2 linked regions of the Caenorhabditis elegans genome follow. The protein of the gene in region 1 interacts with the protein of each later gene in a pairwise test. Each region holds a gene or a part of one and is shown on either strand. Other genes may lie near its edges.

Region 1 (4,846 bases):
TCGAGCCTTCGAAAACTGATAAAATTTCAATTCCCACGACGGCATCGTAATCTCTAGTGAGCGGCGGAATATATATATATATATATGGGAAATCATCATAAAACAAGTTTACACAGTTACGAGACCTCTCTGAAGGAGACACTGCGGTAAACAAAACTACGGAGGAGCACGGATTCGTATCTTTTTTGAAGAGAGAGAGTGAAGCGGGAAAGAAAAGGGCAATCCGAAAACGAGGTGAATCGGATTTGACGAAGTAGGCACATACACGACGGAAGTAAAGAACGAGAAGTGCTTGATACGATTTGAAAATAATGTTTTCTCCTCGTCTTGCTCGTAGATTTTTCTGGAAAAAAAGTTTGGAATTGAACTTAATAAATGGGGGGGGGGGGGGGGTACATGTGAATAAATTCGGGCTCCAAAATGAATTGATGAAGTGGAACATGGAGACAAATGCGATTACCCACCACCCCCCGGCTGATGAGCATGATGACACCCGAATGTTTGTTCGTTCTCTTCTAAATTAGGAAGTGACATACATAGAGAGACGAAATGAATATTTAATACGAGAGGGGGAAGGGGAAAAATAAACGTTAAAAATAAAAAAGAAAGGCAATACAAAAGGAAGGCAATTTGCTTGGATAAAATTGATTACAAACACGGACATAAAAGTGTATTGATCAGAGAAATATCAAAACCGGTAAGGGGAAATGAGCTCAATTTGTTGCAGATCGATTTTCTTAGCGACGCGAGGATGATGGATAAGCCGGCTGGATATCTGCTGCAGATTCCAAACGGACGTTGCTGGAAGTCGATGGAAGGCGTACTGCATTGGCCGCCGGTGCATTGTGTTTCGTCTCCTCTTTCGTGTGTTCCTCGACGAGTCGTTGGATCATACACTTGGCGTATTGAATTCGATGGAGGAACTTCTCCGGACATCCATTTTCAGCCAAGTGTGAAAATTTGTACGTGAACATGCGCTTGTTCTCATCGATGAAGGTGACAGCTTGCATGAGTGGACACAACACCATTTTAATGTGATCCTGAAAAAATAATAATTGTTATATTAAAATTAACGAGAACTCTTACATTGAAAAAGTTTATCTGAACAGTGCCGTTGGAGAGATGAAGCACAATTGCCGACTTTGTTCGGAACCAGACACGAAGCGTCGGAAGGCGAGCCAAATCGTCTCCTACTTTCCGAGTAACTTGCTGTCCTGCTTGCAACAAATGATCATTCATGTACGATCGGAAATACTTGAGAAGTGTCATCTTCTTCTGTAGGCCCGATGGTATTGCGCTTTCCATGTCGAAATAGTGCTCCTTCTCGGTTTTCTCAATATATGTCAGCTGGGTGCCAGCAGTGTCCAGCATGATTCTTGAATTATCGTTGAAAAGTACTCCAACCGAATTATCGCAAAGCTGATAACCGATTCCATACTTATCAGAGTAGTCAACCCATTTGGAAATCCAGAACACGGGAAGAGCTTCAGGCGATTGATACGAGTCTAGAGCGGCTTCTGCATCATCAATCTGAAAGTAAAATTTTTGCTATTTAAATTAAAAATGTCATTTCCTTACATCTGCGGTTGGCGTAGCCAATAAATCGTTGACTTGAGCGAGTAAATTCGACAAATAGCAGTCAGTCGGCTGTCGGTACGCCTCCATTCGGTGAGTTTGCTGCCGTTCAGAATTTCTCGACACGAGATGAGCCGGAATCGCAGAAAGTCCGGATCTACCAGCTTGGTGCGGACCACGCTGATCGATCGTGCCACTTGGAGACACATTTTCCTCTGCGTATTCATCATCGTTTAAGTGTGGGACCATCGTGAGGCACGAAACTGGAAGACGAGCAGGCATGAAGCCGGATTTGAAGAAGTGATCTCGGCATACAGCTCTGGCATTTGGACGGCGACTCGGCACTGGGTCAAGAAGCACACGAATGAGTTGAGATGCTGCAGCACTCGCCGATGTTGGGATGACGTAGTTGTTGTTTTTGATGCGCGAATAGGTCTCCTGAAATATGAAATATGATGAATTTTGCCGCAAAGAAATATAGGCGTGGCGTAATTTCGCAACTCTGCGGCAACGTTTTTTTCCTCATTTTTTAGTTGTTTTTTTTTTCAATAAAGTTTCTTTTTATCATCATTTTCAGATGAAAATGTTATCCAATCAAATTCTCATCAGATTGTGAGGATATTTCATGTTTTTACAACCAATTTAGCATAAAATAGGATAACGTTTCAAAAAAGGACATGAAACAATAAAATCGGAGAAACCGTGCCGCCTCATTGCTGCTTCTTTACCTCCAAACTCTTCGACTCGAATGGCGGATGGCCGAAAAGAAGAATGTAGAGAATGCAACCAATCGCCCATAAATCGACTTCAAAGGAGTGCCCGATTTTGTTCAAAACTTCAGCTGAAAAATAAATATTCGATTTTTGCAACGATTCTGCGTGAAACATACGTGCAATGTAATTTGGAGTTCCACAGAGTGTCTTCTTTCTCTCATCATTATCACAAGTTGTTGCCAACCCGAAATCGCCGATTTTCACTTGCAATTCATCATTGAGGAAGAGATTTCCGAGCTTCAAATCACGATGTACAATCTTTAAATTGTGCAAGTAGAGCACACCTTCCACGATTTGATATGTAAAGTAGCGGGCTTCAGGCTCTGTGACCGCTTTTCGTCGCTTATGCAGCTCCATCAACGATCTTCTTGGACACAATTCCAGCGTGATGTAGACGTTTGATTTATCCTGGAATTTTTTTAAAAATAATTAATTAATTAATACCTAATTAATAATGTACAAACCTCGAAGAAGTGATATAATTTCACAACATTGCGATGTTGGAGGTTCCTATGAATCTGCACTTCTTGAGCCATTTTGTCTCTCTGATACTGCTTGATAAGCAGCGCTTTCGGGACGACTTTTCCAGCAAACAGCTCGCCTGTAGACTTGTTCCGCAGCTCGTAGCAATGTGCGAATCCTCCTTTTCCCAAAAATTTGCCTTTTTCATAACGAGTCTTGCGTTCTCCATCGAGAATCACGTCTGGAACATCTGGCGGCGCCTTCTCCTTCTTCTGGGACTTTACCCTTGCTGCAGACGGCTGTACACGCTGCATCTGAAAAGTCGAAATGTACTGTGAAATTTGAAAAAGTAAGAGGAACACGAGAAAAAAAAAATGTCACACGGCGAAAAGAAATGAACAACGACGGAAAAAGGCAATTAATCTAGCACCGACCTTCACCCGGAATGCGCCGACAGCGCCAGGCTAAGAACAACGAGAACAATGATAAATTGTCAGCTGTGTTTATGGGCCATTTCAGTGATTATCATGATATATTGACGGGAAAAGGACACAAAAATTACGGAAATAGGGTTCAAATACCCTTTTCTATCCCGTTTTCTAATTTTAATATACGCGAGAATGTTCATTTTAGTGCTTTTTTCGTTTTCAGGGTTGAAAAACAACTTTTTATTATAAAATTGACGGGGTAAAGAAGGATTTATACCAGAATTCGTTGATAATATCTCGAAAAATCGATGAATTTCCCATTTTAAAACGAAAATTAGGAGAAAATCAACGAAAAACACGTGTGATTTTTCAAAAAACAAAGCTGCCCGCGCGCGGGTCTCGCAACGATCGCGCCTGGGTACGGTAGTCCGAACGATTTACGAGCCTCGAAAATTATTGATTTTTCTGAAAATCGAATTACATAATTAATTAATTTAATGATTGCAAAATGTTTCCATTGAATTTTGCAAAACATTTTGAAACACAAAATCTATAATTATCAATTCCCGTGCATGTAATTACCGGTTTAGTGGTCAACTGTGTGTCCTTCGCGTGATTTTTATCGTATTTTTGCTGTTACATAGATTTGTATCTTGTTACGACATTTTTGCGCAATGAAATATGTCATAAATATCTCAAAAAAAGGGAGTATTTTTGTGCATTTATTGACAAAATAAATTCAATAAGAGGAAAAATTAAAGATTCAGGTCCTTCTTCAGCTTGGCAATTTCCACGAGCTTCTCTTCTCTCTCCGCTTGATGTTTTCGAATATTCAAAGTGCTCATTTTCGGCTCCAGCTCTTCTTCAAGCTTATTAATGACTTTCTCGTCTGTGAAATCTGGAATCGGCCCCATATCCTTCAGGACCTGGAAATGCTAGCGGAAATAAAAATAAATAAAATAAAAATAAAAAGCACAAGCTTCAAGCTCCTTACCGCCGTAATTCCAGCCGCATATCTTTTAAAATAATCTCTGACACCAAACGCGTTCAAATGAACCGTTTCACAAGTCCCATTGAACGCATATCTCGGCCCTAGACCAGCTGACATCACCGCATCCACATCATTCACGCCAATGACGCCATCGGCTACCAAACGCCAGGTTTCTGCTAGCAAAGCGAATTGTAGACGATTCACAACGAATCCCAAAACTTCTTTCTTCAGCTTCACCGGCTCCTGCTTCACAGATCGCATGATCTCTGCAGCTCTATCTACAGTATCCTGTGAGGTCCACGGAGCAGGAACAAGCTCGGTAAGAGGAAGGAAGAGCGGAGGATTGACGGGGTGGACGATAAGACAACGTTCCCTGAATTAATGTTAATAGAAATAAGATAACAAAGAAGTCTATTTACTTATTTATCAGACCATCAGTGAACTTGGACGCTGGAATTGTTGACGTACTACTTGCAAGGATCGTTGTAGGATCCGCGATCTCATCAATAACTTTGTAGAATTGAATTCGAAAATTTAAATCTTCAAGTGCAGATTCCTGCATATAAATTGCATTCTTCATAACCTCATTCAACGATGTAGTGGTAGAAACTCGAAGG
Region 2 (6,835 bases), on another chromosome or scaffold:
ATACTGTAATTCTGATCGGAGAATATTTAAAATTGTGGCAACCACATTAAAAACCGATAATAACTTATAATAGGACAAAAATAATTTGGAATATACCGTATTTCCTCTTTTAGTTTTGCACCCCTTTGCTCAACTTTGACAGCTCATATCTCATTTTGTTTTGAACATATAAATAATTAACAAACTACAAACTATAGAAAAACATCTCACAAAAATTTTATCAGTTGACAACTTTTCTATGGAACAAAGAACTACTGAGATATGAGCTGTCAAAGTTGAGCAAGCGGGTGCAAAACTAATAGAGGAAATACGGTATGTATCGTAAACTTCTGTATATACATACTTCCCTGTTAGTGTTGCATGTATCAGGGTTGGGCGGTAAATAATTTTTCCGCCAAATTGGCGAATTGCCGGAATTGAAATTTTCAGCAAGTCGGTAAACCGGCAAATTGCCGATTTGCCGCATTTTCCAGAAAAACGGCAATTGTCGGACAGATTGTGGTTTTGCATTTTTTTTTTGTTCGAAATTTCGTGTTTCACTATCAGTCTCATAAAAAAGCCCTCTAAAAACTTCCGGCAAATCGGAAATTTGCCGAAAATCGAAAATTCCGGAATATCAGCAAACCGGCAGTTTGCCGCCCACCAATACTAGTTCTAAATGAATATTTTTTAGAGCAAACGGGCTTTTTCTCACCAATTTTTTCGTTTTAAGACAGTTCTCGATATGAGTTTAACTAACTAAAAATCACAAAATTTACAAAAAAAATTATTATAACTCACATTTTTTAAAAATCATGCAGAGCGCTAAAAATACCAAAAATCATACTAAAACATTTCAAAAAAATGTAGACATTTTTTCGAAGAATCTGCAGCATGTATGAATATTTCAAAAATAATTAAAGCATAAAACTGGAATCAGAACTTTTTTTTTAACTCAAAATGAAAAATGTTCCGAAATTATATTAATAGCTTTACTATGATATTTGTTCATTTTAGGCCGTACTCCACCTTGTATGCAGGCACATTAATATTTATAATAAGAGAAAAATAAACCCTCCGCATTTGAATTAACACATCCTACCTATTTTTACCTGAACCATCAAACTTTGTATATTATACTCTGCCCTTAAACCCTTGCTGCAAAAAATGGAAAAGAAATCAAAAATCAAAGTATCCTTTATCATTTTAAAATTTTTCACAGAAATCTTTATCATCATCTGATCGAGATTTTCTGGTCAAAAACAAAAACGAATGACGTCATTCCTCTCTCAAGTGTACAGTAACCAAGTGGCCGGCTATTTTAAAAACTCGTTTTGTGTGTTTCTTCAAAACTTGGTGTCACTTCCTATCAAAACATCGGGAGATCATTTTTTGTTCATTTTCCTACACCGCGCGGAAGAGTCGTGAATGCCAACCTGTCAAAAATGTTTAATGCTCCGCGAGAGAAAGTGAGCCGCTTCTCTAATTCTCCTATTGTGCGCATTGATCTCTTCTCTTTTTTTTGTTTTTGTCTTTTACTCGAATATCTAATCAAGAATCATTTACAGATGACCAAACTAGGCGCACAGCCCGGCGTTCACGGGAGTGAGGACGTTGAGAAGGAGTCTATCAAGATCGATCCAAAAGTGAGTTTCTATTAAAAATATTCAAATTTTCTGAGAACTGTTTTTAGTGCGAAGTTCAAATTTTCTCATAAAAAAATTTCAGCTGGAAATTCGAATTTTTTTTAAGAGATCACGTTTTGGCGCGAATTACAAATTTTATGAGTAACAAGTCGTAGTGTCAGAGTGTCCCATTTCGGCTTGATCTACATAGATCTACAAAAAATGCGGGATTTCAGACGCAGGCTTCTCAGCTGATTTCGCATGGTTAAGAACATGGCTGACGTCATGTTTTTTGGGCAAAAAAGTTCCTGCATTTTTTGTAGATCAAACCGTGATGGGGCAGCCCGGCACCACGTGTAAAAACAGTTTGCCTCGAAATTCAAAATTTTTCACAAAAAAATTTTAGCTGGAAAATCAAATTTTCTGAGAAAACGTATATTGGCGCGAAGTTCAAATTTTATTAGAAATTTTTTTGGCGCTAATTTAAAGTTTTATGAGAAAATACATTTGACTCGAAATTCAAACTTTATGAGAAAACGTATTTTGCCGCGAAATTTAAATTATCCGAGAATAATTTTTGGCGCGAAATTCAAATTTTCTGAGAACATTTTTTGGCGCGAAATTCAAATTTTCTCACAAAGAATATATTCGGTAACAATAATAATAATAACGTTAGTAGAAATATCAACAAAATCTGAATTATTCCAGGTGTTCACAGTCCTCCAGCCCACAGTGATCCCAATGCCGGCTCCACCAATGAAGCCTGCTCCATCGCCAGCTTTCCAGGCGATGAGAGCATGCTTCCATTGCATGTTCTTTGCCACGTGTCTTTTGCTGGTGACACTCATCGGTTTCTACTTCCTCGCCGCTACTCCTGATCTCTTCAAGGTACAGGGTTTTTTTTTAATTTTAAGCTTTTTTAAACTTAATTAATTGATATTCCAGAAAACCGAAACATCCGTGAACAAGCCACAAATGGAGGCACTTCTAGCTCAACCAATTGATGGATCATCTGAAAAGACTATAAACTCTGCGGAAAATCCAGGAATGATGGCAATTCCCTTGGCTCGGGTAGTTGTAGTGGAGGATATTTCGAATAATGAAGGTCAAAAGAAGACAACTGTTGATGGATCAGTTGAGGAGAAGTCCTCTACCAATTTGGATCGCCCACTTCATCCAGATGAGATTGAGGTTAGTTACCAAATTATACCATATATATACATAAATATGGATTTGTATATATATATATATATAAATATATATATATATATATATATATATATATATATATATATATATATATATATATATATATATATGCATATGTAGGGCTTCCATAGACAGGCGCGGTTCCAGGGCCTGCCTGAAGGGAATGCCTACCCGCCTCAAGCCAGCTAAACTGCTTTAAAAATTTTAGGCCATTTTTTGAGCTGCCATAACTTTTTTTTCAAGAGGTTTTTAAGAAGTTTCATTAAGAAATTCGATATTTTCAGACAATTTTGAGTCTAATAAATCAATAAAAGCAATTTTTTCAGCAATACCGAATGATGGAGGCCCGCCAACAATTCCAACAAATAATGGAGGAACGTATGTACATGCAACAAATGATGGCAATGCGAATGATGAGAATGAGAAGACTTCAAGCCGCCTACTACCAACAACAACAAATGAAGATGGCCTACATGCAACAACAACAGCAACAGATGCAGGAAGAGGCCGCCCGTCAGCAATGGGCCGAGAGATCCCGCTATGAAGAGGAACAACGTCGTCAGTACGAGGCTCAACAGACCTATGCTCAACAGCAGCGTGCTCAAGCTTTCTGGCAACAACATCAGTTGGAGATGCAGGCTCAGACTCAGCAGGCTCAGGCCCAGGCCCAATGGCAACAGCAGGAGCAACAGCCACAGGAGCAGCAGAGACAGAGATTCTGGCCAAGACCAATGATGCATCAGCAACAATGGGAGAGACCAACTGTCTGGCAGGTAAGGCGATTTGTAGATTTTTAGATGATGGGCTACGAATTTTTTGGCATTTGGATTTTAGACACATTTTCCATTTTGAAAAATTTGAATTTTTGCTTTTTTTTTTCATAATTTTTTTCAAAAAACTTCGAAAATTTTTCGTCGTATTTGGATCAGGGGTGGGCGGCAATTGCAGTTCGGCAAATTTTTTTTGAGTAAATTGGCAACTGAAAATCGGCAATTTGCCGGTTAGCCGATTTGCCGGAAACTTTTGATTCCGGCAACTTGTCGGTTTTCCGGGAATTTCCAATTCCGGTAATTTGCCGATTCGCCTGAAATTTTCAATTCCGACAGTTTTCCGATTTGCCTGAAATTATCAATTCCGGCATTTTGCAGATTTGCCGGAAATTGTAAATTTTGGCAATTTGCCGATTTGCCGGAAATGTTCAATTCCGGCAATTTTTAGATTTGCCTGAAATTATGAATTCCGGCAGTTCGCCGGTTTGCCGGAAATTTTCCATTCCGGCAGTTTGTCGATTTGCCGGAAATTTTCAATTCCGGAAATTTGTCAATTTGCATGAAATTTTTAATTCCGGCAATTTGCCTGAAATTATCAATTCCGGCAGTTTGTCGATTTGCCGGAAATTTTTAATATCGGCAATTTGCTGATGTGCCGGAAGTTATCAATTCCTGCAATTTGCCGATTTGCCTGAAATTTTCAATTCCGGCAGTTTGTCGACTTGCCGGAAATTTCAGTTCCGGCACTTCGCCGGTGTGCCGGAAAATCTTAATTCCGGCAACTTGCCGATAAGCCAGAGATTGTGAATTCCGGCAATTCGCCGGCTTGCCGAAAAAAATCGTTTGCCGCCCACCTCTGTTTTTTGCTTAGTTTTCGGGATCTGAAACCGATAAAAATTTTCACTATTTTTTTTGTCAAAAAACCATCAAAAAAATTCCAGCAACCACCCCAACAATTCTTCTTCCCATCCCAACAACAACAGCAGCATCAGCAGCAACCACAACAGACCCAACAACCTGAGGACCGTTTCCCACAGGCTCCACAATTCTTCCAACCAATCCCACAACCATCAGTTCACGATAAGATCTACGAGGAACTTCAGAAGAAGTCGCAGAACATTCCAGTCAACGCACCAACTCGTCAAATCTGTTAGTTGTTTTTTTTGCAAAAAGCCCAAAAATTTCAATTAATCTTGTATCAGGGACAGCAATCACTCCAACTCCAGCTCCAGAAGCTGCATCTGGAACTGCTGACGTCACAGCTTCACCCATCAACACTGCATTCCCAGCAGTTGTCACGAGCAGCACACCAATGCCAGAGGATGCCGCTGAGGTTTCTGATACTATTCTCAGAGATATCTTCTCAGCTTTCGATGAGCAAAAGAATTCAGAGGTTTGTACATCAGGAACATGTTGGTTCGGCAAATCGGCAAATCGGCGAATCGCCGGTTTACCAATTTGCTGCCGATTTGCCGGAAATTTTGCCGATTTGCCGGAAATTTTCATTTTCGGCACTTTGCCAGTTTGCCGATTTGCAGGAAATTTTCTATTTCGGCAACTTGCCGGTTTGCCAATTTGCCGAAAATTTTCAATTCCGGCAATTTGCCAATTTGCCGGAAGTTTGAGTTCCGGCAATCTGTCGATTTTCCGATTGACCGGAAATTACAATACCGGCAGTTTGCCAATTTTCCGGAAATTTTCATTTTCGGCACTTTGCCAGTTTGCCGATTTGCAGGAAATTTTCTATTTCGGCAATTTGTCAAAAATTTAAGTTCAGGCAATTTGCGGATCTGGTTCCAGCAGTTTGCCGATTTGCCAAAAGTTTTAATTCGGGCAATTCACCTATTTGCCGAAAATTTCAATTCCGGCTCTCTGCCGGTTTGCCGAGTTGCCGGATATCAATTTGCCGGAAGTGTTTAGAAAGATTGTTTATTTATATATAGTCGGCACGGTACAATTTTGCCGACTAATATTGTAATTCTGAAGTTCTGAAATTGCCAAAAAAAAGTGCAAAACCACAATTTGCCGGAATTAAAATTTCTGGCAAATCGGCAAACCGGCAAAAATTTGAATTTCAAAAAGGCAAGTGTTTCCGTCTTATAAAAAATTTCTCTAAAAATTTCCGGCAAATTGATGTTCGGTAAACGGCAAATCAGCAATTTTCCGAAAATCAAAATTTCCGGCAAATTGACAAACCGGCAATTTGCCAAATTTGCCGAACGGCAATTTCCGGCCCACCCCTGTTTTGTGCTCACTGAGGCATAATGAGTAATATTCCAGGCGGCCAACAAAGAGCTCAACTCAGCCACCCCATCAACCACCGAAGAGCCAGAACTCGAAGGAAAGGGAGCAATTGTGATTGAGGACAGCTTCCCAAGAATCGAAGAACGCACCACAACACCTGAACCAATGGAATCTGAAGAAGATGCTGAACATACATCATCTGAAGATAATCATGAGAAGGAGTTGGATCCATTCGCAGCTGTTCTCAAATTCTTCGAGAACAATCCACCACGTGAGGCTCTCGAGGCAGCAGGGGCTGAGACAGCAGCAACCACTCAGAAACCATTGAAACCACTGATTGTTTGAGAATTTTAATTTTGAGCTGAGCTAAAAAAAAATAATTTTCGAATGTAATAATTGTTATACAATTCGTCCTCCCCCGATTATTTTCCATCATCATCATCATCCCATCTTTTACGCGTGCAGGTTTGTAAATAAAATTATTCGCTGTTGAATTTGTATTTGCAAATCAAGAAAAAAAAAGTATTTATTTCAGAACGTGTGGTGTCAGAGTGTCCCATGTTGGTTTGATCTACGTAGATCTACAAAAAATGCGGCAGAGTTCTCAACTGATTTCGCATGGTTAAGAACGTGCTGACGTCACACTTTTTTTGGCAAAAAATTGCCGCATTTTTTGTAGATCAAACCGTGGTGGGACAGCCTGGCACCACGTGTTTCCAAGGAACTTTCAAAACTTCATCACATTTGTTAAATCCGACTGTCTAACCAGCATCCCATTCTCGATTCGTTTTGCATAGACGTAACATCGATTGATTAGAATGAATTTGATTATTGATACTGAAAAATTTTTAAACAATTTTTCGCTTTAAATTACAGAATATACGCCTAGAATATATGACCAAATATGACTGTGAAAATTTTTTCAAAAATGTCCTAAACTTTTAGTGAATTTTTACATATTTCAAAATTCATAGAAACGACCGAATTAAATTTGAAACATTTGAATTC

The links.
Region 2: the proteins of plk-2 (region 1) and brp-1 interact in a two-hybrid assay, tested with the Caenorhabditis elegans proteins (one study listed by BioGRID).

Annotation. Positions count from the first base shown.
Region 1 is NC_003279.8:2,755,081-2,759,926, forward strand, and holds plk-2 (Serine/threonine-protein kinase plk-2), read right to left. Parts: upstream 3,125-4,846; coding exon 2,813-3,124; intron 2,757-2,812; coding exon 2,465-2,756; intron 2,417-2,464; coding exon 2,304-2,416; intron 2,014-2,303; coding exon 1,579-2,013; intron 1,531-1,578; coding exon 1,087-1,530; intron 1,041-1,086; coding exon 738-1,040; 3' UTR 545-737; downstream 1-544. Other genes in the region: Y71F9B.9 (3-hydroxyacyl-CoA dehydrogenase), read right to left, coding at 3,994-4,164, 4,233-4,602, 4,649-4,846. UniProt on the Caenorhabditis elegans protein: Serine/threonine-protein kinase which plays a role, during oogenesis, in chromosome pairing and synapsis, by facilitating the recruitment and attachment of meiotic chromosomes to the nuclear envelope during prophase.
Region 2 is NC_003281.10:12,019,005-12,025,839, forward strand, and holds brp-1 (uncharacterized protein), read left to right. Parts: upstream 1-1,547; coding exon 1,548-1,625; intron 1,626-2,312; coding exon 2,313-2,492; intron 2,493-2,549; coding exon 2,550-2,795; intron 2,796-3,139; coding exon 3,140-3,586; intron 3,587-4,524; coding exon 4,525-4,732; intron 4,733-4,785; coding exon 4,786-4,976; intron 4,977-5,863; coding exon 5,864-6,172; 3' UTR 6,173-6,317; downstream 6,318-6,835. Other genes in the region: Y79H2A.12 (Serpentine Receptor, class BC (Class B-like)), read right to left, coding at 6,555-6,664.